Linked DNA regions of Drosophila melanogaster. The protein of the gene in region 3 interacts with the protein of the main gene of each other region in a pairwise test. Each region holds a gene or a part of one and is shown on either strand. Other genes may lie near its edges.

Evidence for each region.
Region 1: the proteins of Asx (region 3) and tant interact in binary tests that used the Drosophila melanogaster proteins (3 or more experiments, as listed by UniProt).
Region 2: the proteins of Asx (region 3) and CycG interact in a two-hybrid assay, tested with the Drosophila melanogaster proteins (one study listed by BioGRID).

What each region holds. Positions count from the first base shown.
Region 1 is NT_037436.4:6,053,139-6,057,608, forward strand, and holds tant (tantalus), read left to right. Parts: upstream 1-1,997; 5' UTR 1,998-2,281; intron 2,282-2,438; 5' UTR 2,439-2,469; coding exon 2,470-2,525; intron 2,526-2,578; coding exon 2,579-3,422; 3' UTR 3,423-3,864; downstream 3,865-4,470. Other genes in the region: Jon65Aii (jonah 65Aii), read left to right, coding at 1-53; Jon65Ai (jonah 65Ai), read right to left, coding at 490-1,278. UniProt on the Drosophila melanogaster protein: Potential cofactor involved in sensory organ development. Despite its interaction with the Polycomb group protein Asx, it does not regulate the expression of homeotic genes.
Region 2 is NT_033777.3:31,607,883-31,612,843, forward strand, and holds the start of CycG (cyclin G), read right to left. Parts: upstream 3,097-4,961; 5' UTR 2,999-3,096; intron 1,934-2,998; exon of another isoform or gene 1,438-1,933; intron 1-1,437. Other genes in the region: Med (medea), read left to right, coding at 3,799-3,862, 4,097-4,365, 4,452-4,806. UniProt on the Drosophila melanogaster protein: Cyclin with roles in multiple processes including transcription, meiotic recombination repair, cell cycle regulation, and promotion of normal growth and metabolism.
Region 3 is NT_033778.4:14,502,175-14,507,270, reverse strand, and holds the start of Asx (additional sex combs), read right to left. Parts: upstream 3,045-5,096; 5' UTR 2,902-3,044; exon of another isoform or gene 2,701-2,901; intron 2,187-2,700; exon of another isoform or gene 2,104-2,186; 5' UTR 2,025-2,103; coding exon 1,789-2,024; intron 1,721-1,788; coding exon 790-1,720; intron 730-789; coding exon 126-729; intron 15-125; coding exon 1-14. Other genes in the region: Cpsf160 (cleavage and polyadenylation specificity factor 160), read left to right, coding at 3,907-4,740, 4,810-5,096. UniProt on the Drosophila melanogaster protein: Non-catalytic component of the polycomb repressive deubiquitinase (PR-DUB) complex, a complex that specifically mediates deubiquitination of histone H2A monoubiquitinated at 'Lys-119' (H2AK118ub1).

The DNA.
Region 1 (4,470 bases), on a different chromosome or scaffold from region 3:
GAGTGACCGGTTACTTGGACTGGATCCGCGACCATACTGGCATTTCTTACTAATAAAGTTCGCTATTTTGAGAAATTAAACGAATAAAAAAGTTCACTTAAATCCTTTGTTAATCTTTAGCTATCATAGCTACATTATATTTTGCCGTAGCTATGACTAATCCCAAGATAGATAGGTAGATTACAAACACATACGTGATTTGGTTTCTGTACCATTTTAAACTACTTCCTTAAGCTAACTAAACTATATCCTCTGGAAGAAGAGTCCAAGACTTCTTTAAAAAATCGATTTGGTTTTGAAACTAAGTTTCACCAAAAGGAGTTTATTCTATTAATATATATCGATTAGTATATTACAGATAACAACTAATACTGCATTTAACATGACCCTTAATTAGGCGCTCAAATCTAAGCTTATCATAGCTTATCTATTAAGATCACACTTTCAGGAGGTTGCAATATATTTTCATTATTTTATTAAAACATCTTTTTAATAAGAGATGCCAGTGTTGTCGCGGATCCAGTCCAGGTAGCTGGTGACGCGCACCATACCCTTGGGACCGTTGGAGAGGCAGCCGGCGGAGGAGCCGAAGGACACAATGCCCACCTGGCGGTTGCCGTCGTGGATGACCAGTGGGCCACCGGAGTCGCCGCTGCAGGTGCCCTTGTTCTCGGGAGTGGGGATGCAGATTAGGTCGCCGGAGAAGCTGCCGTAGTAGTTCTCGCACACGGAGTTTTCGCCAATCTGGACATCGACGCAGTTCAGGTACTCGGAGACACCGCCCTCATCGGAGGTCTTGCCCCATCCGGAGACCAGAGCCCACCAGCCTTGGTAGTTGTTGTAGCGATCGTCGTACCTGGGGAGCTCCACCTTGTTGACCAGCGACCAGAAGTCTACGTGGGGAGTGCGAATGAGGGAGATGTCTCCAGATCCGTGCTCAATGAAGTCGCTACGTCCCACCCAGTGGGTGTACTGTGCCTGCAGGCGCCAGAGGGCTCCGTAGTAGATGGTCACCGATTCCATGCCATCGGTACAATGCTTGGCGGTCATCACCCAGGTGTTGCCGATAATGGAACCGCCGCACCAGGTGCCTCCACCGTTCTTGCTGAAGCCCAAACCGACAATGTAGGGCACCTTGCCTTCGTAGGCAGGATATCCCATGGTGATCCTACCTTCGATCGAGGCCTTGCCCACGGGCACATCCTTCCAGAAAACCGGCTTCTCGAACGCCGTGGCGGAGGCAATCACCCCCAAAAGTAGGACCGCTAGCACCTTCATGTTCCTTAAGTTCAGCACACTTAATAAACGCAAACAAACACAGTCGCCACATTTATAGCTTCATTTTCAACCGGAAACGAAATAATCCGCTGGGAAAGTAATTTACAACTCTCAGATAACCACGGTTCTTTTGTTTTTGTGTGCGGAGTTAGCCAACTTGACGAAATCTTTTGAATGGAAATTGGCACTTTCGATAAGATTTAAATGTGGACATTATCAAAGGAGGCTTGTCAAATTTGAATTTATTATAACAATAAAATATATTTGCTTTATTATACTAAACGAGAATATACTTTGTTTTATGTTACAAAACAAATGAACACATTTACGTTCCACTTTTGAACTCTTTGATAAATAAACCAATAGCAGCCTTTCTTTTTATCAAAAAGAAAACATTTACACTACTTGAATGCAACGGCTGCTTACAAGCAGTGCTACCACTCTGGCAGTAAGCGAATGCACCAACCCATTAGTCCGTGTCACATTTCCTTTTCGCACAGTTGTTTTTTTTTTAGTGAAAAAAAAGTTTCGGACATAATCATTAGGCAGCATACATTTCATCTGCCAAAGCCCATTAGATTCGGTTTCATGCTATTGAATACGCTTTATTAAATGTGCCACTTATTTTGAATATTCCGCAAAAATAGGTAATCGATAGCTGTTCATTTATCCGAAACTATCGGTTTTGGCTGAACCCAAGTACACTACCTATCGATACAATTGTGACTGGTTGAACCAGCTCTAATCCAAGCTGTTTATTTTACAAAAAGAACACAAAAGTTATAATTCTGTCATTTAATTGTCTGCAAAATAGGACTTTCCAGCATCATTGCATGTAGTTAAATCCAGATTTCTGAAAAACCTTATTTGGCAGCGATATGTTTAGCCAAAAAATAGGAATTTGCGGATAAATTACCCCCCGGAGTGACAAAGATCTGTATTGTCATACAGACGCCTGCAGAAAAAAGGGTTTTACAAGAAGAAAATGCGCTATTTTGCAAAGGTTAGTAAACTTTAGGTAATCTTTGACTTCCAAGATCTCTAACTCGAGTTACTGAGCAGTTCCGACGGCTTTAACTGATATCTTTGAGCTAAGATACAAGGAATAAACCTTTCAAAAAGATAACTAATATGTATGCTTTCCGTTTGTTTTCTGTTAGGAATGATTTCTAGAATTCAACGTCAAATATAATGGATAACATAGTCTACGACTTTGCCAAGATCACGTTTCAAGCAAAAGACAACAGGTAGGCCTTTAGAATAATTTATATCTGAAACTAGCCCAAAATTCATACTTCAGGTCACCCACTACTAACTCGAATCTGTCGTGGCAACTAAATCAGATGGCCTTGTCGGACATGGAGGAGATGCAGGACACATCCGAGCCCATAGCTCCACCCGAATCCGATGACAATGTCAGCAGTGAATCGCATGACTCCGACGATGTAGACTCGCAATTGAGTCGCTGCGAGGACAACGATGACGACAGCGATTGCATCAGTGGATCCTCCAGACGCAGTTCCACTTTTGGAGCTCGAGCGGGCGTGGCTCGTCGCAGAATGCCCGCCAGGGTGTCCAAGGACAACTTTAACCGGATCTGCAGCGCCATCATGAAACCCATCAAAAAGAAGCAACGCAAAGAACTGAACACAAATGCCCAAACACTTAAAAGCATCGAAAAGATCTACACCAGCAGGCGCATGAAAAAGTTCACGCCCACCAATCTGGAGACAATCTTCGAGGAACCCAGCGATGAGAATGCCGCCGATGCAGAGGACGACAGCGAAGAGTGCTCCATCAGCAGCCAAGTGAAAGTAGTTAAGGTGTGGGGTCGCAAACTCCGCCGGGCAATATCCTTCAGCGATGGCCTGAACAAGAACAAAATCCTGTCGAAGAGACGCCGCCAGAAGGTGAAGAAGACCTTTGGCAAGCGTTTCGCACTCAAGAAAATCTCCATGACCGAGTTCCACGATCGTCTGAATAAGAGCTTCGACAGTGCCATGCTGGAGGGGGATGATGCAGAGGCGGGAGGATCGGCGGAGGCCGTCAACATCCCCAAGACATCCATGACCATGGAAGACATACAGCTGCCGACAATGAGCAGCCAGCACCAGTTCCTCATGCAACCGGCGGGCTTTGAGTAGAGAGACTGAATGATCCATCAAATACGCCCCACATTGATTTGCATTGCATTAAAACTAGCTAATAGTGCCCAAAAATAAATGTACTGATTACCAATTATGAAGTTAGGATTTACGTTCGTTTGGTTAACTTCTCACCTTAGTCTTAAGCCCCATAAAAGTTATAAATGAGTGTAAATAGCATGTAGAAGAAAAGAAAATAAGAGCTATACCTAGAGCTAAACTTATCCAGCCATAGAATACGATTCTGTGCTTAGCCATTAAGATAATAAATAAAAGTTGAAAATACATATCCATCCACTGTCGTTCGGAAAATCTTGTGAAATCCCTGGATAGATATATTTCATTAACGCTTTTTAAACACTGTGGAACTCATGAATGAATTTCCTTTTAAGTAATGAAAATGTTTTATGTGTTAGATTTTATAATTTATTGGACAACAAATAAAATAGTTTTTTGAGATTTCTTTATAATTTAATTCTAGACGTTTCCGTGGTATTAATTGAATGACCAGTTATCAGTTCCCCAAATTCCAGCCGAAACCGTGGTGCCAATTTCGTGATATAATAAGCTATAAAGACCGATTTGGGGCGGTAAAGAGTGCGCTAACGAGGAACACTAAAATGAACTAATAAATAAACCCAATTCGAATGCGAAACGGAAGCGAAACGCACCGAGGTGCCCAAAATCCTGGACGAATTGTGCGAGCCGGGTGGCGTTCAAGCTCAATTATTTAACGGCCGCCGCGTGATTAGCAAGTGCAATAAAATGCAGTAACAAAAACGCGCCCATTATTAATGAGTGCAACATGCAACGGGAGCGATTATGCAGCAAATATATACGTATAGATATAGACATAGATATAGACGCACCACCGCACGATATCGAACTGCACCGCCGCCTAACAAGGGGTGGTGCTGTGGTGCAGTGGCGTTGTGTGTTGTGGTGCATTTGCTGTTGCATTTGCATAATCATGCTGTTGTGCCTCACTGTTGTTGCAGCCTCATTACATTCGGCTTCATTTCGATCCAATCCCGATCTGATTTACCTC
Region 2 (4,961 bases), on a different chromosome or scaffold from region 3:
CGAATTTCATGGCATACTGAAATCGAAGAAAACAGGTAGAAAGCAGACGATATCTGCTAAAAAGGCGCCACCCTAACCACAAGTGGAAGCCAAATAGATGTCAGCTGGATTTCGGGTTATTTAGCCTTAAACTAATCATTTTGGTTCAATGGCTTTAGGGGAATATATAAACGGGAATTGTAAGTTAATCTCTTTATTCCAAAAGCGACTTACTTAGTAGACGTGACCCAAATAGTTGGACATTGCCCACCTAAGGGTTAATGATGAATTCTCCCCTTTTCACACCCGTTCCCATCTCTATTCATTCCACAAAGAAGGTAGGCAGAGAATAGAAGAGACCTTTTTACATGTAAACAAGTGTGGAGAGGAATAAATAAAACAACGGTACAGCAACACCCACACACCCACACCAACCCAACTGTTTCATTAGTATGCGTGCGTGGGGTCGTTTTATGCGTTGTATTTATATTATTTTGGAGGCTATGGAAAATATGAAAATCAACAAATTAAGCAATTCTGCGCGACTTTGCGACTGCGCAACAAATTGAAATCAACAAATATGACCCAGAAAACAAAGTAAATGCGCTGAAGGTGAAATCAGGAGAAACGGGGTACAAAACGGAATGTAATAGCAGTTGTTACTTGTGTTTTCCAGAAACAAGTTGCTTCCTAAAATGAGCAAAAGTGTTTTTGAAACGAAAACAAGTAGTTTTATCCGTCGCACATATTTTATTTTTGGCTGACGCAATTCCAAGCCAGAGCACGCACACTCCCAAACCAATCAAGTTGCTGTGCTGGTGTGAGTGTGTGTATGAGGTAAAAATCCGAATGGGAACAACATACACACATACAAAGTCTTTGTTTGCAGCTCGCGTGTGTGTACGATGGCAAGGGAACTTTGGAAGCGGAACACACAAATTGTGGGGAGAACAACAAAGGAAAAGGGGAATATGAAGTAAAACAATTGACGCAAATTGGAAATAAAACAGATATGCAAATGGGGGAAGGCAATAGGAATGGGTTTTCTAGGCGAATAAGGCGGTGCCAAGGAAACAAAGGCGTACATTAGTCTCATTACATATGTATGTTGTACAGCTTGCATAAAAAGCACAGCCCCTCAAACACACATACCACTGCAAGCAGCATAGTTCCTCGCCCACCCCTCGTTCGACCCTCTCGCTCACTCTGTAAGCAACGACCTACGAATAGCGGACCCCAAATCCACTCTCTCGCTTACACACACAAACACCAGACAAACAGCTGTGAAACAAATGGAAGCGAAACAAACACGTAAATGAACGAATTTTGTATGTATGCCTAATATAATTTCTTTTTTCCTACAAACAAAATCATCTGATAGATGAAGAAAAAAACCTTGATTCTCTTTTTGCATTTTATCGACTTTTCCACTCTTAAATAAATTTAGCATTTTCTTACGTTTTTACAGCCATTTTGTTGTTTTGTGTTGCGCAGGAATGTTGAGATGAACTTTGTTTAGTTGTGAATTTTTGCTTCTATTGCACTCGAAAATAAGTGAATAAATTGGCTGGCAGCTTTACGCTTATTCAATTGCGTCAGATAGTTAGCTATAAAACCTTGTCGTTGGCCATTTAAGCTAGTTGTTAACTAATTTGTACTGCGTTTGTATCACAATTGGAACTCTGTTTATTAGGCTGGCATTTTATCCTCAATTTTTCCCGTCTGCGGATCGATTTTTCCCACACACACTGGGCTGAAGGTGCTTGGGACTTTTCTCCATCAGCTGTGCATTTTCCTCCTGCTGATTTTTTTTAGTTCTGCTTTAGCAAAGCTTTGTACGTTTGCACTTGGTCCTTTTCAATTTCTATTTTCTATTCCTAAGCAAACAAACACATTCAAACACTCGCGCTCGCAAAAACGGTACTTCTCCGCTTTGTTGTTTTTTTACGAATGAAGAATATTGTGAGCGACCAGTGTTACCAGTAGGCCTACAAGTTCCACAGATTTGGTGCGAACTGAAATTTGTACTATAAAATACCCTAAGCCAGCGGAAGCGATAGTCCCTCACTATCGATGTGTATGTTATTCGATTCTCTCTGTTAACTAACATTTCGCTGTAATGTTATCGAACCCTAATAAGCCCGCAATAATTCTTTTTTGATGTCGAACAATTTTGAACACCGAACTCAAATAAGCCCGCAATAATTCTTTTTGGTGTCGAACAATTTTCAACACCGTAAGCCTGATAGGGATTAAATAATAACTTTATGCTTCTGAATGCGGGATGTAGACAATTTTATGACAAGTGATTTAATTAGTTAGGGAATTAAAAAATATGAGGGCAACAAATCCTCGAAGTTAAATTGAGTTCCCAAATTACTATTACAAATGGAAGCTTCTGTTTTGGCAGGGAATCGCAAACTTCCCACACATAATTTCACAATCAATGTCATTGCCAAAATATAAACATATTTACATATGTACGCCGCAAATCGAAATTCCGTTCAGATAAGCGTTGAAATTACGCATTTTGATAAGATATTTTGAAGATGGAAACTACGCAGCAAACTGTTTTACAAAAGCCGGAGAAATGCATTTCCGGCGAAAAGGAAATTCGTTACTGTTGCCAAGTGAACATTTTCAAGAGAAGAGGGGAAGGGGGTGGTCTATTTCAGGCCCCACTACACACACATGCATATTTCTAGAAACAACCTGTCACACAAACGACTCATCAACGGCAATTTTTTATGAATGAATTTTAGCAATTAAAGCAATGGAAAGAAACTTTTCAATGGGAATGCGAAAACATCAATTAACTTGTTGCACAAGATGTTCAGCCTTCGATTTTCCCCAATCTCAACGATAAGAAACTTTCCTCAATTTCGTCACACACACACACACATGCGAATGGGAAAAAACGCGTGGCGATTGATTTTCGGCCTTTCAAAAAGTTCGTTTTACGCACTGAACAGCCCGCGAAATGAGTGTAAGTCGGTGTAACAAATCTCATGGCACTTACCCGGATGCCTCTGCGTTTTGATCAGTATCTGCTTTTCTTGCTTCTTATTTCCAAAAAATATAAACTTATTCTCAAATCAAATCTTCGAGAACTGACCAAACTAGGTGTTTGTAAAAATCCAAGGTAGGTATTTCGCGCTTTGCCCATCTGGCAACGCCCGCCCATGTTGTATCGCGAAACGGTCACTCTGCACAGCCGCAACAAAATAAAAAAGGAAAAAAAGGCAAATTGGCTGGAAAACTGGATTTCGTCGGGCGGAAAATTGTACTTTCGAGTTTCCCAAGCAGCCAATTAAGTGCAAACTATGAAATTCCACGAAAAACAGTAAAAGCCAGTCTCTACCAAGGATTTGAGCAGGAAACTTCTCGCTGGGCGTGTGTGTGTGCAGTGCGTGTGCCAGTGTGCGTAAAGAAGGAGGTGGAGAAGACGAAGGAGAGGAGAGTTTTCGCAGGGAAATTACGCCAACTTTGTGGGAGTTCAAGTCGAGTTAGTTCAGCGCGCGCGTGTGTGTGTGTATGCGTGTGTGCAACACCCCCCAAGCCCACTCACACAAAGCCATCCAGCCGCCGTTTGTTTTGTGCTCACATTCGCGTGCCGCCTTTGTTTGGCTTTTCTTTGGCCAGTGATTCTACGCCTTGTTTTTGCCCGCCGCCGGCTTCGATTACGCCTGCTCCAGCCACCGTACGATCCCCACTCCGCTCTCCGCCGCTCACGATCCCCATTCCGGATCCGGATCCAGCAACAACGCCGCCGTGGATGCCCATGCTCGCACTCTGGGCTCGCTCGCCCAGGACTTTGGCATGGGCGGCGGCTCGGGGGCGTGTCCGCCCGCCCACATGTACGGCGCCGTAGCCCCGCAGGACAGTAAGTGAAGTTCTCTAGAGGAGCAGCAGTCATAGTGAACTCCTTTTCGAGTTGTTATTCTAAAATCGATTTGTGGCCAAGTATTGTGGACAATCCTAAATCTTACCGTAGCATTATTATTTACTGTTGATAAACTTGAAACTCTTTGAAATTTAAAATGAAATTGGATTGAGCTGTACAGTATCCGTTGATCTACTAAAAAAACTCAGAGCTAATTACCCCCACCATCTGCAGTAATTGTCCGGGACATGGTGCAAATGCCGCCGCCGCCCTCGAACGCCCCCACATCGGCGGACGCCTGTCTGAGCATCGTCCACTCGCTGATGTGCCATCGGCAGGGCGGCGAAAGCGAGGGATTTGCCAAGCGAGCCATCGAGTCGCTGGTCAAAAAGCTCAAGGAGAAGCGCGACGAACTGGACTCCTTGATCACGGCCATCACCACGAACGGAGCCCATCCCAGCAAGTGCGTGACCATACAGCGCACCCTCGATGGTCGCTTGCAGGTAGGTTGAGTCTCTCAGACTTTCTGCATCGAATTTGATAATGTGTATAAGCAATGAACTTACCACTTTACCATTCTCTATCGAAGGTTGCTGGACGCAAGGGTTTTCCGCACGTCATATACGCCCGGATTTGGCGCTGGCCTGACCTGCACAAGAACGAGCTGAAGCACGTCAAGTACTGCGCCTTCGCCTTCGATCTCAAGTGCGACTCGGTGTGCGTGAATCCCTACCACTACGAGCGCGTCGTCTCTCCGGGCATCGATCTGTCCGGCCTGAGTCTGCAGTCGGGCCCCAGTCGCCTGGTGAAGGACGAATACTCAGCGGGTCCGCTGGTGGGCAGCATGGACATCGATGGCAACGACATCGGCACCATACAGCACCATCCCACGCAAATGGTGGGGCCCGGCGGCTACGGATATCCACAGGGTCCCTCTGAATATGGTAAGACTACAGTATTGACATTAATTCGATATAGTTTGAGTTTTCGATACTGGATTTCTTGATAATTTTTCTATATTATTTATAATTTTAAACTGAATTGTTCATTTTACTTAATTGTTTACATTCGTTTATTTCTTTGGTTTTAATAATTTATT
Region 3 (5,096 bases):
AGGCGCTTTGGTTTCTGCAATAATAGTAATGCCAATTTAAATAAGCCATTTATATGGGTGGAGTACTCTTAATATAGCTAATGCAATGCTATCTATATTGTTCGCTCTGAATAGCTCTTACTTACCAGCTGCTAGTTCGACGTTTTGTAAGTAGCTTACAAATTGGTTAGCCACATCCGGATTTGGTGCTAACGCTTCCGGCTTTGGTGTATGTGGGGTAACGGCAGCAATTGCTGGCATGGCAGCCGCCGATGCAATGGAGTCCACATCTTCCTTAGAATCCACTTGTTTCATGGCAACGATCATCTCCTTACTGCATTCAGATGGCTCAATTTTATCACAGGTACTGTTGATAAGTGGCTGATGTTGTCGCTGATGCTGTTGCTCGTCCTTGATTTTCATTTCGACTGCAGAGTGATCCACAACATCAACCATTGGAGCTGCGACAACATTCCCTGACGCATTAGGAACAATTTCGTCCATCTTCGGCTGCTTGCTGTCCTTTGATGTGCTGGGCAGCTCGTCGAGATCATCGTCCAAATTAATGGTCGCTATCGTTGTGGGTGCCTGCTTGCGCTGCGAAGGACTGCTCGATGGACGTTTGAGGACACGGCGTTGCTGTTCGTTAAGCACATTATTCTGGCTGCCAGTGGGTGGAAACGTGCTTGATTTATCTGCTACTGCCACTGCTACTGTAGTTTTAGCTGATGTCGTTTCGCACTTTGTGCTCTGCAAGTTTTTCAATAATATAACTGGGATATAAATAATGGGGAATATTTGGTAACTTACCAAATCAAATTTTAATTCAGTCTCATTATCACATGTTGCTTGTTGCAGTGGTTTTTGTTGCGATGTCGCTGGTGGTTTGGGCTCACTCTTAATGCTTGCCGAAAGCTTCTGATTCTTGCAATCGCTTTCTAACTTATCCTTATCCTTCCCCCTAGAATTCTTCTCGCCCCAGAAGGGCTCAAAGTGTTTCAGCTTCCAGGGATCCAACTTGTTCTTTTCGCGCTCTGCTTCCGTTTTAAGTTTCAGCTGGTTTTCGGGTGTAAACTCGCCTTCGCTTAGTCGTTCCCGCCACTCCAAGCAGGCTCGGGCAAAAAACTCGTTGTTTAGACAGGAGGCACTTAGCCTTATAGCCTCCGATGGACTGCCTCCACTTGCGCTACTGCTAGGTTGCTCTAGTTCGCTGGCCTCGCGATCCACGCTGGGCAGCAGTTGTATGAGATTGTATTGATAGAGCGGTGGCAAAAGCGAGAACGTTTGCTTGTTCAACAGCGCTCTTAAGTTGGTGGAGGCCAGTATGGAGTCGGGGGTCTCCAGGTCGATCTTTCCGTCTTTTGTTTGCTCAATCTGCGCTGCTGTCGTCAGCTTCTTATTGCTCCTCCGACGGGGCTTAACACTAAAACCGGGTATGGAGGCCAGGACCTCCCGCATGGTCGAAGCTTGAGAGGTGCCCGCCTTGCTGCCGGGTGAGATGGCGGATGGATAGCTGGAGGTGGCTTGGGCTTGTGCTGCGGCCGCTGCTGCTGCTGCTGCCGCCGCTGCTGCCGCCGCCGCTGCTGCTGCCGCTTTGACCTGTTGCTGTTGCTGAATGCGTCGGCTGCATATTAAACGCGTGGGCGGGGCAGGAGCAGTACTGACGGCAGCCTCTTCGCTGGGCGCCATCGGTTTCTTCTCAGGTGGTATTGGTTTCACGATAATGCGTGGCAGGTGGCGTCTGGAATAAAATTAGTATAGAAATTTAGAGATTCTCGTGGCGCTCGGGTAAATCGTTTTAGAACTAACCTGAGACTGTGTGTGTGCTTGGTAGACGGTGACACTTCCAGTTGCTCCAGCGCAAGAGGATCCTTCTCGTCGTCGTCCACCAGATTCACATGCTCCATTATCATCGTAGGCGGTGGAGCGGCCAACAGGGATTGCTGCTGCAGCATCGGCTGGTGATGCTGATCCGCTTGTGGAATGAGAAGTTGTTGGTGCTGCGACGACGTCGTCGTCGTCGTATCCGGCGTAATGGTTTTCATTGTTAATCGCTCTGCCTAATCTATTTACAGCGAACTTTTGATCCATGCACCCATGTCAAGCAAGTTTCTTCCGCACACACTGGAAATGTTGAGAAATAGATAATTTAATATTATTTTTTTGTTAACAATGAAATAGTTTTGTTATGTGATGGTTTATTTGGATATAAATTAAAAACAGAGCATTAATTCTTTACTTTAAATTGCTTGGCAACTTGACAATGATCATATACAAATGCAAAATGATGTGTAACAAAAATGAATGTAACTTCTTATAGTTTTCAAATTTAAATTTGTTTATTTGATTTATCCGTGTTGGGGTTCAGCCAATATTGCTTGTTTTTAACATTTTCAAGCTTCCCAGTCGATTTTAGATGCCATATTAGATGGCAAAACTAGTTTTTGGTTAATACTATAGTGCACGAAATTAATCCTGATCGGCTGCACTAACGAATTGTCCATTTTAAGGCAAAAAGTGTCTGTATAATTTTAACGTTGCGCCCTTTGTATATGTATGTACGTCATCTGTGTGCATGTATGTGCGCATATATTTCGTTAGAAGTGTGTGCGTGTGTTTTATTTTTTTATATGTAATGAAATTGCGGCTATACGGAGATTTTTCCGTTTGTTATGCCTTAGTTTTAATTATTGTTTTTGTTTTCCTCACGACTTTTCTCACTTGCCAGCAGTAATTTTAAACAAATCAACAATGTAACAGCAGTAACAACAACAAATACGAACGACCTGCAAAGTTGGTTATATTTTTTTCTCACGCACGCATACACATACACACAAACACACACAAATGCACACTAGCACATCGGAGAAGTAGAAAAATGACTTTTGTTCCTATTTAAGTAACTAATTGCGGGTATTTTACCTATTTATGGTACGGATTTAGATCTGTACTAGAGCACTATCTTTTGCATAATGCCGATTTCCGCCTCGTTAATGGCTCACTAAATTAAATATTGAATGGGGGAAATGTGAATGCCAAACACACAAACAAAGCAGCTACAAAATGATTCTTTTCTAGCCAACTATGCCGGTCCCTTTCTGGCGCACGCGTTTTCCCGTATCGGGCGCAGCGCCCGTTTCTCTCTCACACTCACTATGCAGAAAAGCTGCGTTTAATTGAATGAAATTGTTTAAGTTACTACAACGCAAACACTAGTCACTAATCACACCAACTAGTTAATGTTTTTTCGTGGCCAGTTTTAAACGCAAAACGCTCGAATTTCTGGCTGCCCTGCCAAGTCCGATGGGGTTGTTGATGTCGCATCCGATACATCGGATAGGAGCGGATGTATTTGCGCAGTCACTGCTCCCGCACCAGGGCTGCCAACTATCGATTGAACGATCAGGTCAAGAAGTAGCTAGAAATAAGCTGGCAAATATGAAGCGTTACGTACGTAGCGGTTATTTGATTTTAAGTTATGTTACATTTACGTACATATATAATATAATTGTATAACGTGTGCATACAAAATAATTGTTATAAAAATATACAAGCTCTAAGACCAAAATGCACTATAAATAATTTCTAAATGTTTAGACTCGTAACTTATGCAAATACGTAACATACGTATCATTTTACATGTTCAGATAAAAAAATATAGCTTTTATTTGGTCAAATACATTTTGCAAGATATTAACTAACGAAATACTTAAAAACCGCTAAAACAAAAAGCAAGACAAAAATCAAGCCAATATGGTATTCCACCCACTAAAACGGCGAACAAGTTTTCACATCCAATGAGCGATAACTTTGCACCCACAATCGATAGTTCCGCAGCTGCTGTGTGTGTTGGGCCGGCAAATTGTTAAACTGGCTGAAATTGTTAATAATGTTTTAAGAAATTGCGACACCAATTAAACCACCGCAATGTTTTCGATGTGCAAGCAGACGCACTCCGCCACGGCGGTGGAGTTTTCGATAGCATGCCGCTTCTTTAACAATCTGGATGAGAACCTGGTGGTGGCGGGCGCCAATGTACTAAAGGTGTACCGGATAGCGCCCAACGTGGAGGCGAGCCAGCGTCAAAAGCTGAATCCCAGCGAGATGCGTCTGGCGCCCAAAATGCGACTGGAATGCCTAGCCACATATACGCTCTACGGCAATGTGATGTCGCTGCAGTGCGTCTCATTGGCGGGTGCCATGCGGGATGCGCTGTTGATTAGTTTCAAGGACGCGAAATTGTCCGTACTGCAGCACGATCCCGATACGTTTGCGCTGAAAACTCTCTCACTTCACTATTTCGAGGAAGATGACATACGTGGTGGTTGGACGGGTCGCTATTTTGTGCCCACAGTTCGCGTAGATCCCGATTCCAGGTGTGCCGTCATGTTGGTCTACGGCAAACGGCTGGTGGTACTGCCCTTTCGCAAGGACAACAGCCTGGACGAGATCGAGCTAGCGGATGTGAAGCCAATTAAAAAGGCTCCGACGGCAATGGTCAGCAGGACGCCTATTATGGCATCGTACCTGATAGCACTGCGAGATCTTGATGAGAAGATCGACAATGTTCTGGACATACAATTCCTGCACGGCTACTACGAACCAACGCTGCTTATACTCTACGAACCGGTGCGAACCTGTCCGGGAAGAATAAAGGTGCGCTCCGATACTTGCGTTTTGGTGGCCATTTCGTTGAACATTCAACAGCGAGTGCATCCGATTATTTGGACCGTGAACAGTCTACCTTTTGACTGCCTACAAGTGGGTGTTTGAAAATGCCACTTACCTTTTAGGAGTCACAACGTTTAATGTGTCATTTTTCCCTTGCAGGTTTACCCGATTCAGAAGCCAATTGGGGGTTGTCTGGTAATGACAGTCAATGCTGTAATCTATCTCAATCAGAGTGTCCCTCCATATGGCGTCAGTTTAAACAGTTCAGCGGATAACAGCACCGCATTTCCACTGAAGCCACAGGATGGCGTTCGTATTAGTTTGGATTGTGCTAACTTTGCATTTATTGATGTCGACAAGCTGGTAATCTCGCTTCGCACTGGAGATCTATACGTGCTTACGCTTTGCGTTGACTCAATGAGAACGGTTAGGAACTTCCATTTCCA